3 linked regions of the Arabidopsis thaliana genome follow. The protein of the gene in region 3 interacts with the protein of the main gene of each other region in a biochemical or structural test. Each region holds a gene or a part of one and is shown on either strand. Other genes may lie near its edges. The genes, in order: ABI2, ABI1 and OST1.

Region 1 (3,600 bases), on a different chromosome or scaffold from region 3:
GATCCGGAATTACTGACGGTTTAAGGTATCTATCGCCTGTTCGCGACGGGTTGTAATGTAAGGAAACAACTAAAAGAACCAAATTCATGGATCATTATCAAGAGAAAGTTAAATAATTACCAATGGATCTTGACATTGCGAGAACACCAAATACACGAGCCCCGTTCCACCGGATTACTTTCCCACCGGCAGCTTCTATCCTCGCCGCTTCATCATCCCTATCCGGCTACACATAAATGTAGACCCAAACGCTATAAGTACATTAACTAATCTATAGAAACATGCTATGATTGGTAACACCATAACAAAAAACCGCAAGTCCTAATGAATATATGATTGTACTAATTCATTCATAGAAACATCTATACTTACTTTGTGATCAACCGACAACGCGAGTGGCGTTTTGCCGCGACACAAAACCGCCCTAGAGTCGCCGCAATTCGCGACAAAGATGTGAGTCGGAAAGACAACCGCAACCACCGAGGTAGACCCAACAGTTTCCGGAGCATGAGCCACAGTTTCAATCTCCGAGTCAACTCTCATAAAAGAGTTGAACAAAGCCTTCTTCCACTTCTCTTGCCACGTGTCACCGTCACAAAACTCCGGTTTCTCCTTCACTATCTCCTCCGTCAAAGCCAGATGCATCCTCTCACGACAATAATTCGCTACCTAAACACACAAAAACAAATGTCAAAAACCAAGTTTTTGCAGTTTCCGATCATATCATATCGAAACCAAATCGATTCATTACCTGAGAACCGCCATGGCCATCGTAAACACCAAAGAAATGAGCACTCAAGTGAGGATTAAATCCATTAGTGACTCGACCATCAAGCAACGAACTAGAAGAAACTTGAAGGAATCTAGGAATCGTTGAGACAGAATCTTCCATCTCTGGTCGTCTACCACAAATCGAAGTCACTCCATATAAAGGAACACACTTGAACTCAAACAGACTTCTACTCTCTGTTCTACTAAGTACTTTCTTCTCACTCTGATTCATCGATCTCGGATCAAACTCATCTGAACCGTTGATTTCATCTCCGGCGGAGATATCCACACCTGCCATAGCAGATGATGATGATGTCAATGAATCTTGTCTTGTATTGATCTCAAAGGAAGAATCTTTCATAGCTCCGTCGCCAGAACAAGAACTTTCCGGTAAAGTAACCCTAGATTCACCGTTGCAATAGCCTCTAAGTCCGGCGTGAGGGTCAGTGAATGGTCTGAATGGAACAGCGACTGCAGGAGAAACTTCGTCCATTAAAGGAGGAAAAAAAAAGAAAAAAGAACTTTCTTGAACTTTAACAAAAACCCAAATCAGGAATCAAAGTTGGGAAGAGAAAGGAGAGAAATTGAAGTTGGATATCTAAGTATTCAAAGAGACAGATGTTAGATTGTTAAAACGCTTGGGTGTAAGAGAAAAGAACGAAAAGTCAGACAGATTTGAACATAATAAAAATTGATGAGAGTGTTGTTAACTTTATTAGATGAAGATGAAGACAAGAAACTCATGACTCATTAGAGGAAAGTGAAGACAACCTTAGCTAGCACATGAAACAGATAGAGAGAGATTTGTCAATTAAAGAACCAAACACACACAAAAAAGAAAAAGCAAACGTTTTCCCGAGGAAAAAAGGACTAAAATCAGAGTTTCCTGGATTCTGGGCAATTCGTTTCAGCCATTTAGAGATTCTGAACTCTCTCTCTCCCTCAATTAATTTCCAACCAAAAAAACTTTTTTTTCTCTTTCTTTCTCACAAACAAATAGTTTAGGGGATAATCAGTTTTAAAGAGAGAGGTCTTTATTTATTAAAAAAAATAGCACAATGTGAGATGTTTTAGTGAACAACAAAGTAATTAGAAAGACTTAAGGAATTGTGGAAACAAAAACAAAGGGTATTTATTTTATTTTGACTTGATTAAATTTTATTTCTTATTCTATTTACTATCGTGTCACCCCTCCATTATTATTGGGTATCTTTATAGAAGTTTTGAATACAGATGTTTTATACGTTTCCTATTTTACCAAAATATCTTGCATTAAACGTTATGAAATTAGATTTAAGATAAATCCAAACTTTTTACATAATGAGTAATTTACTTATTTCACATAAAAATAATATCTCTTAGGAATTGCTCTTTTCTTTTGAGCTTTAATCAAAATTGGTCGACAAAAAACGTAATTTACTTATTTTATACAAAAACAAATTTCTTTTATTTTATTTTTTGTTTAGTGTAACATGCCATATGTCACAAAAATATATTTTATAGTAAAAGATGAAAACACCAAAAAATATACAAATTATGATACAATTTTTATTAGTTTAGTAGAAAATATATTCATCTACACTGACCACACTAGTACATTAATGCTACTAATAAAAATGAGGTACTATAATAATTACAAAATTTACTGACTAGAGAGCTTGCTCTGATATTTTTGGTTCTAGAGTTCAAAATAAAATAATGACAATCGGGTGGATACCAAAAACAGAAAGGAGGAGAATCAAACTCGAGAAGGCAAGAAGTGTTGTGTTGTCAACAGATGATTCTTTTTACTTCCAAAACAATATTGAAGAAAAAAACAATATTGAAGAAAAATAAAATCATTTTCGAAATAACAATCAAATGGGTCCCATTATTGTCGGAAAACAGACCGGATGATCGCCACGTAGACAGAGAGAAAGTCATTAGATTTGGTGAAGAGGATGGCGTGTACGGTGAGAGATCTGTTAGTTGGGATGGCGGGAAAAGATGAGCCGAAGAGGTTCATTGCACTGACATAGACAACACCTCTCTTTTAACTTCCGTAAATATCTTTGTGTTTCCTTTTTTATTTGGTGTCTGTTTTATTTATTTACTTGTTTTTAAACAAAAATAATAATACGTGTTCCATAATCATTGGACCATGTAATGATATGTGAAGTGAAAGTAGCTTTGGTTGGGCAACAAATACACTGAACCAATCGTATAGTTATATAACTAAAAACGTATATATGAATTTCTGTTTTTATTTATTTATTTACGATTTCATGAATATTTTTTATTCACTGGATATGAGTCATGTGACCTTGATTTTATTTTTATTTTTGAGATATACGTAGATAGATAGACGCATGCAATTTCTTTAAAGTTAATTCATTTTTTTTAGGATCTCTCGCAGCTGTCAGATAAAGTAAAATATCTTTCGATATAAAATAAAAAACAAAACCAGCTCATATTGTATAGTATACTATGTGTCACATATTTTGAGATGATCAGTTGCTACACGGATCTGTTAAAACTTAAAAGGTAGTATTGAATAAAGTGGCGGTCACATAGAAGTACAACTAATATCTATTTGTTAAATTTTGTCAATATGATATCAAATACAAAATGATAATAAGAAAATTATATAAAATTAGACCATATTCTTAAATTTTTATACATAAAGCTAAAACATCTAAACTTCATTACAAGGTAAGAGAAATTTGACGAATCTGGAAGTTATTACTGAGTTATTTTCGCTCGAAATAGTAAGTTACCAACTTACCATTTTTGTGAAGCTGCAAAAATAGTGAGACGTGAATCACCTATTGGACTGGGCTAGGCCCATCG
Region 2 (3,833 bases), 3.0 Mb from region 3:
TTATCCACTTTGCCCGCAATCGCAAGGAAAGCTAACAAATTCAATTAATCACACATTAAACAAAATAAATTACTAGTGTTCATATTTGTCTCGGCTTTCTTCTCAGTTTATCTAAAAGAAATAGCTTTCAATAAAAAATCAATGTTTTTTCTACTTTTGTAATAATTTGTAAAAAAAAAACGGTAGATGATTGGTACATTGTATTTGAGGTGTCTTGGGTATTTTGTCTCTTGCCCATCATCCAAAGCCCACTTTCACACATCTCCCATATGAATAACATATCATTACACATTGTCCAAAGAAAACCGCACAAGTGGCATCAAACATATGGAACATGAATAAATACTTCTTTTTTATCTATCTGTTGACGAATAAATATTTATTGAGATATTAGAGAAAATAGAATAATAATGAGGAGAGGAAAAAAGAGAGTTTAAAGACAAGATATTTACGGAATTTAATGGGACGAAAGAAAAATAATATAAAAGGGGGACCTGTCTTTGTCAGTGCAATGAACCTTTTTTTCTTTCGATCAAATCTCTCCCGCCACCCAACTAACACATCTTAAACCGTACACGTCACCCTCTCTCCTTCCCATTTTCTTCGTCTACGTGTCGACCATCCACCGGTTTTTGTTTTCTGCTAAACGTGGGACCTATTCACATTTTTATTTTATTTTAAAAAATTGGACGGATTCTTTCATGTTCTTTGGGTCGTTGCATAATTATGTCCATGAGTCTATCCATCAAAATACCTTCGGAATCATCTTTTTATTTTATATATATACTGCGACAACAATAATTTTATGTTTTGTACTGTCTTTTCTGGTCAATAAAAAAAACTAAAAATTTGGTCGAATTTAATGGACTTCCATGACCAACTCTTCATTTCCCTTAAGGATAAATTGAGAAGAAAATTATATACTGGAATTTGAAAAAGCTTTATATAATTGTAACGTATTTTTATAATTGCACGACAAATCTCTTTTCTTGATTTTTTGTATGAAACTACAAAGACCAATTTTTCTAACAACTAAGATTCAGTTATTATTTTTGGTCACATAAATAAATGAGACGATAACTTCATAATGGTTTTGGTTTTGAGTTTGACCAAAAATGGTTTTCAAGATAAATAATTAGATGAATAATGAAACGTACCCCTTAAATAACAATTATTTAGATATTTTACCGGTGGTCTTTCATTTTTCCCGAATATAAAACATTGAATTCTTATCTAAAGGACAAAGTATTGTTCTTATTCTGAAAATGACACAAATTTAAAATTTTTATTTAAATCTATGAATATCTAAATGGTATATTATGTTTGGTGTTTTTTAGTCCAATGATTAGGAATTACGAATAATGTTTTCGTAATTCAAACTCTATTTATTTAGATTGAAAACTATATGACAAATAAAATAATTGCAAAACAATACAAGATTTAACTCGGACTACGACACGTCATTTAATGAAAGTCATCTTTATGAAAATATAAAATCCATTAAACTGATGACCTAACTAAAGTTAAAAGCAAACATATTTTATTTTGTTTGACAAACAAAAAAGAAATATATTTCTCCCAAAGAAAAAAAAAACCAAAAAACTTTATGTTTGTTAAAAAAATAAGAAATGATAAAAGCATTTTTTTTAAAAAAAATGTTGAATATAGGAAGTCTGAAGCAAGTGTCTTTTTATGAATTAAATAGTTTAAAATTTCAAGAACGAAACATCTCCCCTTATTACAAAAAATAAATAAGCCAAAAAAAGTATCACTTTAATAATGTAATAAAATAAAGTGATATGTATATAAGTATACATACATAAATAGTAGATTCGAAGCAATTGTTGCATTAGCCTACCCATTTCCTCCTTCTTTCTCTCTTCTATCTGTGAACAAGGCACATTAGAACTCTTCTTTTCAACTTTTTTAGGTGTATATAGATGAATCTAGAAATAGTTTTATAGTTGGAAATTAATTGAAGAGAGAGAGATATTACTACACCAATCTTTTCAAGAGGTCCTAACGAATTACCCACAATCCAGGAAACCCTTATTGAAATTCAATTCATTTCTTTCTTTCTGTGTTTGTGATTTTCCCGGGAAATATTTTTGGGTATATGTCTCTCTGTTTTTGCTTTCCTTTTTCATAGGAGTCATGTGTTTCTTCTTGTCTTCCTAGCTTCTTCTAATAAAGTCCTTCTCTTGTGAAAATCTCTCGAATTTTCATTTTTGTTCCATTGGAGCTATCTTATAGATCACAACCAGAGAAAAAGATCAAATCTTTACCGTTAATGGAGGAAGTATCTCCGGCGATCGCAGGTCCTTTCAGGCCATTCTCCGAAACCCAGATGGATTTCACCGGGATCAGATTGGGTAAAGGTTACTGCAATAACCAATACTCAAATCAAGATTCCGAGAACGGAGATCTAATGGTTTCGTTACCGGAGACTTCATCATGCTCTGTTTCTGGGTCACATGGTTCTGAATCTAGGAAAGTTTTGATTTCTCGGATCAATTCTCCTAATTTAAACATGAAGGAATCAGCAGCTGCTGATATAGTCGTCGTTGATATCTCCGCCGGAGATGAGATCAACGGCTCAGATATTACTAGCGAGAAGAAGATGATCAGCAGAACAGAGAGTAGGAGTTTGTTTGAATTCAAGAGTGTGCCTTTGTATGGTTTTACTTCGATTTGTGGAAGAAGACCTGAGATGGAAGATGCTGTTTCGACTATACCAAGATTCCTTCAATCTTCCTCTGGTTCGATGTTAGATGGTCGGTTTGATCCTCAATCCGCCGCTCATTTCTTCGGTGTTTACGACGGCCATGGCGGTTCTCAGGTAAAAGATTGGATCTTTTGATTAGGGTTGTTTACAGTTTGCAGAATCTGATTTGGTTGTTGTTGTGTAGGTAGCGAACTATTGTAGAGAGAGGATGCATTTGGCTTTGGCGGAGGAGATAGCTAAGGAGAAACCGATGCTCTGCGATGGTGATACGTGGCTGGAGAAGTGGAAGAAAGCTCTTTTCAACTCGTTCCTGAGAGTTGACTCGGAGATTGAGTCAGTTGCGCCGGAGACGGTTGGGTCAACGTCGGTGGTTGCCGTTGTTTTCCCGTCTCACATCTTCGTCGCTAACTGCGGTGACTCTAGAGCCGTTCTTTGCCGCGGCAAAACTGCACTTCCATTATCCGTTGACCATAAAGTAAGCATATATAGACTCAAGATCTATAGTTGGATTGGTTGTGAACTTGTGATAGGTTTTTAGTTTTCAAGATGTTGAGTTAGAGAGGTTTATGAAACCATTTCTGATGTGTGCTTGTGTTATGTGTGTAGCCGGATAGAGAAGATGAAGCTGCGAGGATTGAAGCCGCAGGAGGGAAAGTGATTCAGTGGAATGGAGCTCGTGTTTTCGGTGTTCTCGCCATGTCGAGATCCATTGGTAAGCTTTCATTATATTTCTCCATAAAGCTTCTCAATGGTTCTTGAAATAGAAGAAACCTTTCTTCTTACAAACATTTATCATTGTGACAGGCGATAGATACTTGAAACCATCCATCATTCCTGATCCGGAAGTGACGGCTGTGAAGAGAGTAAAAGAAGATGATTGTCTGATTTTGGCGAGTGACGGGGTTTGGGATGTAATGACGGATGAAGAAGCGTGTGAGATGGCAAGGAAGCGGATTCTCTTGTGGCACAAGAAAAACGCGGTGGCTGGGGATGCATCGTTGCTCGCGGATGAGCGGAGAAAGGAAGGGAAAGATCCTGCGGCGATGTCCGCGGCTGAGTATTTGTCAAAGCTGGCGATACAGAGAGGAAGCAAAGACAACATAAGTGT
Region 3 (3,833 bases):
GCATGACATACAGAGTAACCCCACAAGACCAAACATCTGCAACCTGAAAAAAAAGAAGAACATTAGGATGCATTTGACTAATTCAACCAAAACTCAAGAATTATCAGTTTACAAATCAGACTCTTAATAGCTTTCTTCACCAAAATTCTTGAAGAGCCAAGATTGTTTTATTTGTGTGAGCTTTCATCAAGAGAAAGCATGTTTCCCCTATCTATAATCAGAGGATAAAAATACAAAGATTGTTCTTTCTATAAGATATGGTTATCATACTAGTTTGGGAACTATGAAAATGGAGTACCTTTCCATCATATTCTTTCTTTAGTAAAACCTCAGGAGCGATGTAAGCAGGAGTTCCAACAGTTGATTTTGGTTGCGAATGTAACACTGATGACTGAAAAAGAAAACACAAAGCTTAGAGATACTAACTAACTCAGAGTTTCTGAAATGTTTTCAAAGATACCTTAGAATATCCGAAATCACATATCTTTAGACGAGGGGCCGGGCTACCATCTAATAACGTATTCTCGAGCTTTAAGTCTCGGTGACATACTTGCTACAACATAAAATTTAACTTCTTAAGTCAGCTGAATTTCACAGAGGATGAAGCATTGATTTGATAGAGAGCATTTTTCATTACCATAGCATGACAGTAACTAACTCCTGAAATGAGTTGCTGGAAGAAAAACCTCGCCTACATGATAGTAAACGATATATTAGCCTCAGCATTTTGAATCTTCGATTAATCATCAAAGCAAGAAAAAAAAGAGAGAACAACCTCGTCTTCGCTGAAGCGGCCTGCATTGCAGATTCGCTCGAAAAGTTCTCCTCCAGATGCATATTCCATAACAATGGCTAAATGGGTTGGTGTTAATATAACCTGAAGCAATCCTAAGGATTAAATTATAGAATTCCTTTTTTTTCCTGAAAATGTTAATAATAAGAAAACAGCTTAAAAGAGAGTTGAAAACAAACCTCTTTGAATCTAACGATATTGGGATGTCTTAAGGACCTGTGGTTGATTATCTCCCTTTTTACATTTTCATCTATCTGTACAAATACAAAAAGTCCCACCATTAATACCACGTTCCATAACAAAAGAAACACCTAGAGCCTTTAAAACAACACTATACAACATAAGTCATAAAGCAAAGCAGAGCAAATTTGGTCTTCCATAAAAATCAATCAATTTTGTAAATCTATAGGGTTAAACCATTCATAACCATAAAGTAACCAAACACACATCTCTCATTGGATGATGAACACACAAAAATGATTTCTTTTGAATTCAAGAACCTAGTGAATTGAAACATAAAATAAAATTGGACTAAGGAGAAAAAACAAGAAGAAAATAAACTGACCTTCTCACCTCTCTCGATATATTTAACAGCAACAAGCTCATTACTTTGCTTGTCTCTCATCAATCTCGCAACTCCAAAATTACCGGAGCCAATATCCTTGACGAGTTCATACCTATCACTATCGTGCATAATCGGCAAATCCATTGGACCACTCACTGCTGGTCGATCCATTTTCTCCCCCTCTTTCCTCTGTCTCTTTGCGACTTCAATCTCTGTGTCAAGAAGATTTCTTTTTTGGGAGACAATATCTAACGACACCAAGACATCAGAGGAAATGAACAACGGTGTGACGTGGATGAATTTGAGCCTTTAAGATGAGAAAAGGAGTATTGGGTGATCAAGTTATGGTTGTGAGAAAGAGACGTTTTCAGAGACCCGTGAAGTATCTAACCAACAACACAAGTGGGTTTCTTGAGATCCTTTTTGTTCCTTTGATCGCTCTCGATGAAGAAGAAGAAGAAGAAGGAAGGCTCGTGATCTTGAACTCTGTTTCTCTCTCTCTGTCTCTCTCTCTATCAGCTTTCCTTTTCTCTGTCAATATAAAAAGGAAACAGCTTTCTCTGTTCTGTTTAAACCACAGCTTGAAGTAAGCTATACAAAACAGAAAGATGAGAGAGATAGAAGAAGTTTTCGCTTTTTCTGTGAACTGTTGAATTGTGATTTGTCAAAGCATGGGAGATAGTTTGAAATGACGGATTTACCCTTTCTACTTACAACGTTCTGACAAACAATGGGGCCTGTAGTTTTTAGAAATGTTTTTTTTTACCGTGACTAGTATAGAAAATAATATTTTAATTAGTATAAACTTTCTTTTTATTGGCAAAGTATTAGTATAAACTATGTGATTTGTTACTCTTTATTTTTCAGTAAGTTTTATCTCTCCATAATATTATGCATTAATTTTTTCCGATTTATTATATGTCTTATTGTAAATAGTATAGCAAAAAATATGAAAATATTAATTGATTAAATTTATGCCTAGAACAGTTACTAAAAATATCTAAGTTTTCAAAAATATAGCACTAGAATGGTATGAGATTTAAAATAACAGATTTTGAATTGATTTTATATCCCAATTTAATTTAATCAAACACAGTGAAAAATGAAATAGAAATAATTTAAATTAACAATTAGTTTTTCTGTTAGTGGATCTATATATTAATATCGTAATATGTCCCTTACATATGTACATTTTTGGCTACTGGATTAATTTTGCCCCTTAAATATGTCCTGAAACGGAGCTGATGAAACATATACTCGCATTAAACAAGCTTATGGCTAATCATGGGAACCTCCATGTATTAATGACCACTAAAAAGATTTACTTTCTATTTCGGTATATAAAAAGGGTTTCCGCATTTAAAAACGGAAAATAAAAGAAAAACAAGTTACCACAAATGTCGAGATATTGTTGGCTAGCTTGTCAGATCTTCACCTAAAAGCTGAAACCGATAGAGTTGCACTCATCATCACTATAGCCCATCATTTTTACTATCTAAAGTTTTTGTTTATGCGCATCCACATGACGATTTTGCTGCAAACTTTTTTTTTAATCATCTTTTAAAAACATATATCCGTACTTAATATTCCCAATACACTCTTCTAGAGCTCGATCATTCCATGGACGTGAACATTTTGTCTTTGTTTCTCTTCCCTTTAGTCAAACAAACATTTTGTCCTTGTTTCAAACTAAAATCGATTTCTTCTAAATAAAGGAAATTCATTGACTAAACGAATGATTTTAGTGAATGAATGAAAATTTCTCATTGTGAAGCCTCTGTTTCTCTATTTACTTTTTTACTATTTAGAGTACCTTTCACCGAAATTTTCAATCAATTCCTTTCAATTTTACTACATGTTCAAGCATTCGAACAAAAGCAATCGTTGCAAAAAAGACTAGATCGGAATGCCTTCTACCCAAAAGAGAGAACTCAATGCAAACTGTTTATGAAATTTTTGAAAAAAAAAACTGGATTCATTCCGGTTGTTGCGAGTACCAACCAATGGAGAAAGATTGACCTTAGTTATTGTAGTTATCAAGGCCAAGGTCTCTCAGTGCATCAGTTGCAGCGGCTCTGCATGTCTCATTGTTGGCTTTAGCAGTTCTTATCAGCTTCTCGATTCCATTAGCAAGCAGAATAGTTCTGTAGTGTGCATGCAGACAGAACTTGATATTATAAAAGAGTTTGCGATATGTGCATATTGTTGGATGACAAGAATTGGAAACAGAGCAAAAACCTGTTCTCTGCACTTCTGACAGCAATGTTCCGTATCATGTTGCAAGCGTTTCTCTGCATTTGAGCAGCTACTGGGAACCTCTTCATTGCTTGGACCGCTAGATCACCAGCTCCAGCTTCTATAGCCTTGGCTGCGTGGTCTGGTGATCTCAGACAGATTATAGAGATTATCAACATCACCTGAACCAATCAAGTATATCTTGGATCAACCACAAGGATTATGCACTCAGACCCTAAT

Evidence for each region.
Region 1: of the proteins of OST1 (region 3) and ABI2, one has a biochemical effect on the other in vitro, tested with the Arabidopsis thaliana proteins (4 studies listed by BioGRID, with this or other methods).
Region 2: the proteins of OST1 (region 3) and ABI1 form a complex in vitro, tested with the Arabidopsis thaliana proteins (5 studies listed by BioGRID, with this or other methods).

Annotation. Positions count from the first base shown.
Region 1 is NC_003076.8:23,085,384-23,088,983, reverse strand, and holds the start of ABI2 (Protein phosphatase 2C family protein), read right to left. Parts: upstream 1,863-3,600; 5' UTR 1,265-1,862; coding exon 752-1,264; intron 670-751; coding exon 373-669; intron 227-372; coding exon 121-226; coding exon of another isoform or gene 98-120; exon of another isoform or gene 37-97; coding exon 1-36. UniProt on the Arabidopsis thaliana protein: Repressor of the abscisic acid (ABA) signaling pathway that regulates numerous ABA responses, such as stomatal closure, osmotic water permeability of the plasma membrane (Pos), high light stress, response to glucose, seed germination and inhibition of vegetative growth.
Region 2 is NC_003075.7:13,220,286-13,224,118, reverse strand, and holds the start of ABI1 (Protein phosphatase 2C family protein), read left to right. Parts: upstream 1-1,742; 5' UTR 1,743-2,290; coding exon 2,291-2,839; intron 2,840-2,909; coding exon 2,910-3,200; intron 3,201-3,331; coding exon 3,332-3,437; intron 3,438-3,529; coding exon 3,530-3,833. UniProt on the Arabidopsis thaliana protein: Key component and repressor of the abscisic acid (ABA) signaling pathway that regulates numerous ABA responses, such as stomatal closure, osmotic water permeability of the plasma membrane (Pos), drought-induced resistance and rhizogenesis, response to glucose, high light stress, seed germination and inhibition of vegetative growth.
Region 3 is NC_003075.7:16,270,060-16,273,892, reverse strand, and holds the start of OST1 (Protein kinase superfamily protein), read right to left. Parts: upstream 2,149-3,833; 5' UTR 1,530-2,148; coding exon 1,359-1,529; intron 1,048-1,358; coding exon 973-1,047; intron 878-972; coding exon 776-877; intron 692-775; coding exon 638-691; intron 554-637; coding exon 461-553; intron 392-460; coding exon 299-391; intron 44-298; coding exon 1-43. Other genes in the region: AT4G33945 (ARM repeat superfamily protein), read right to left, coding at 3,379-3,502, 3,597-3,775.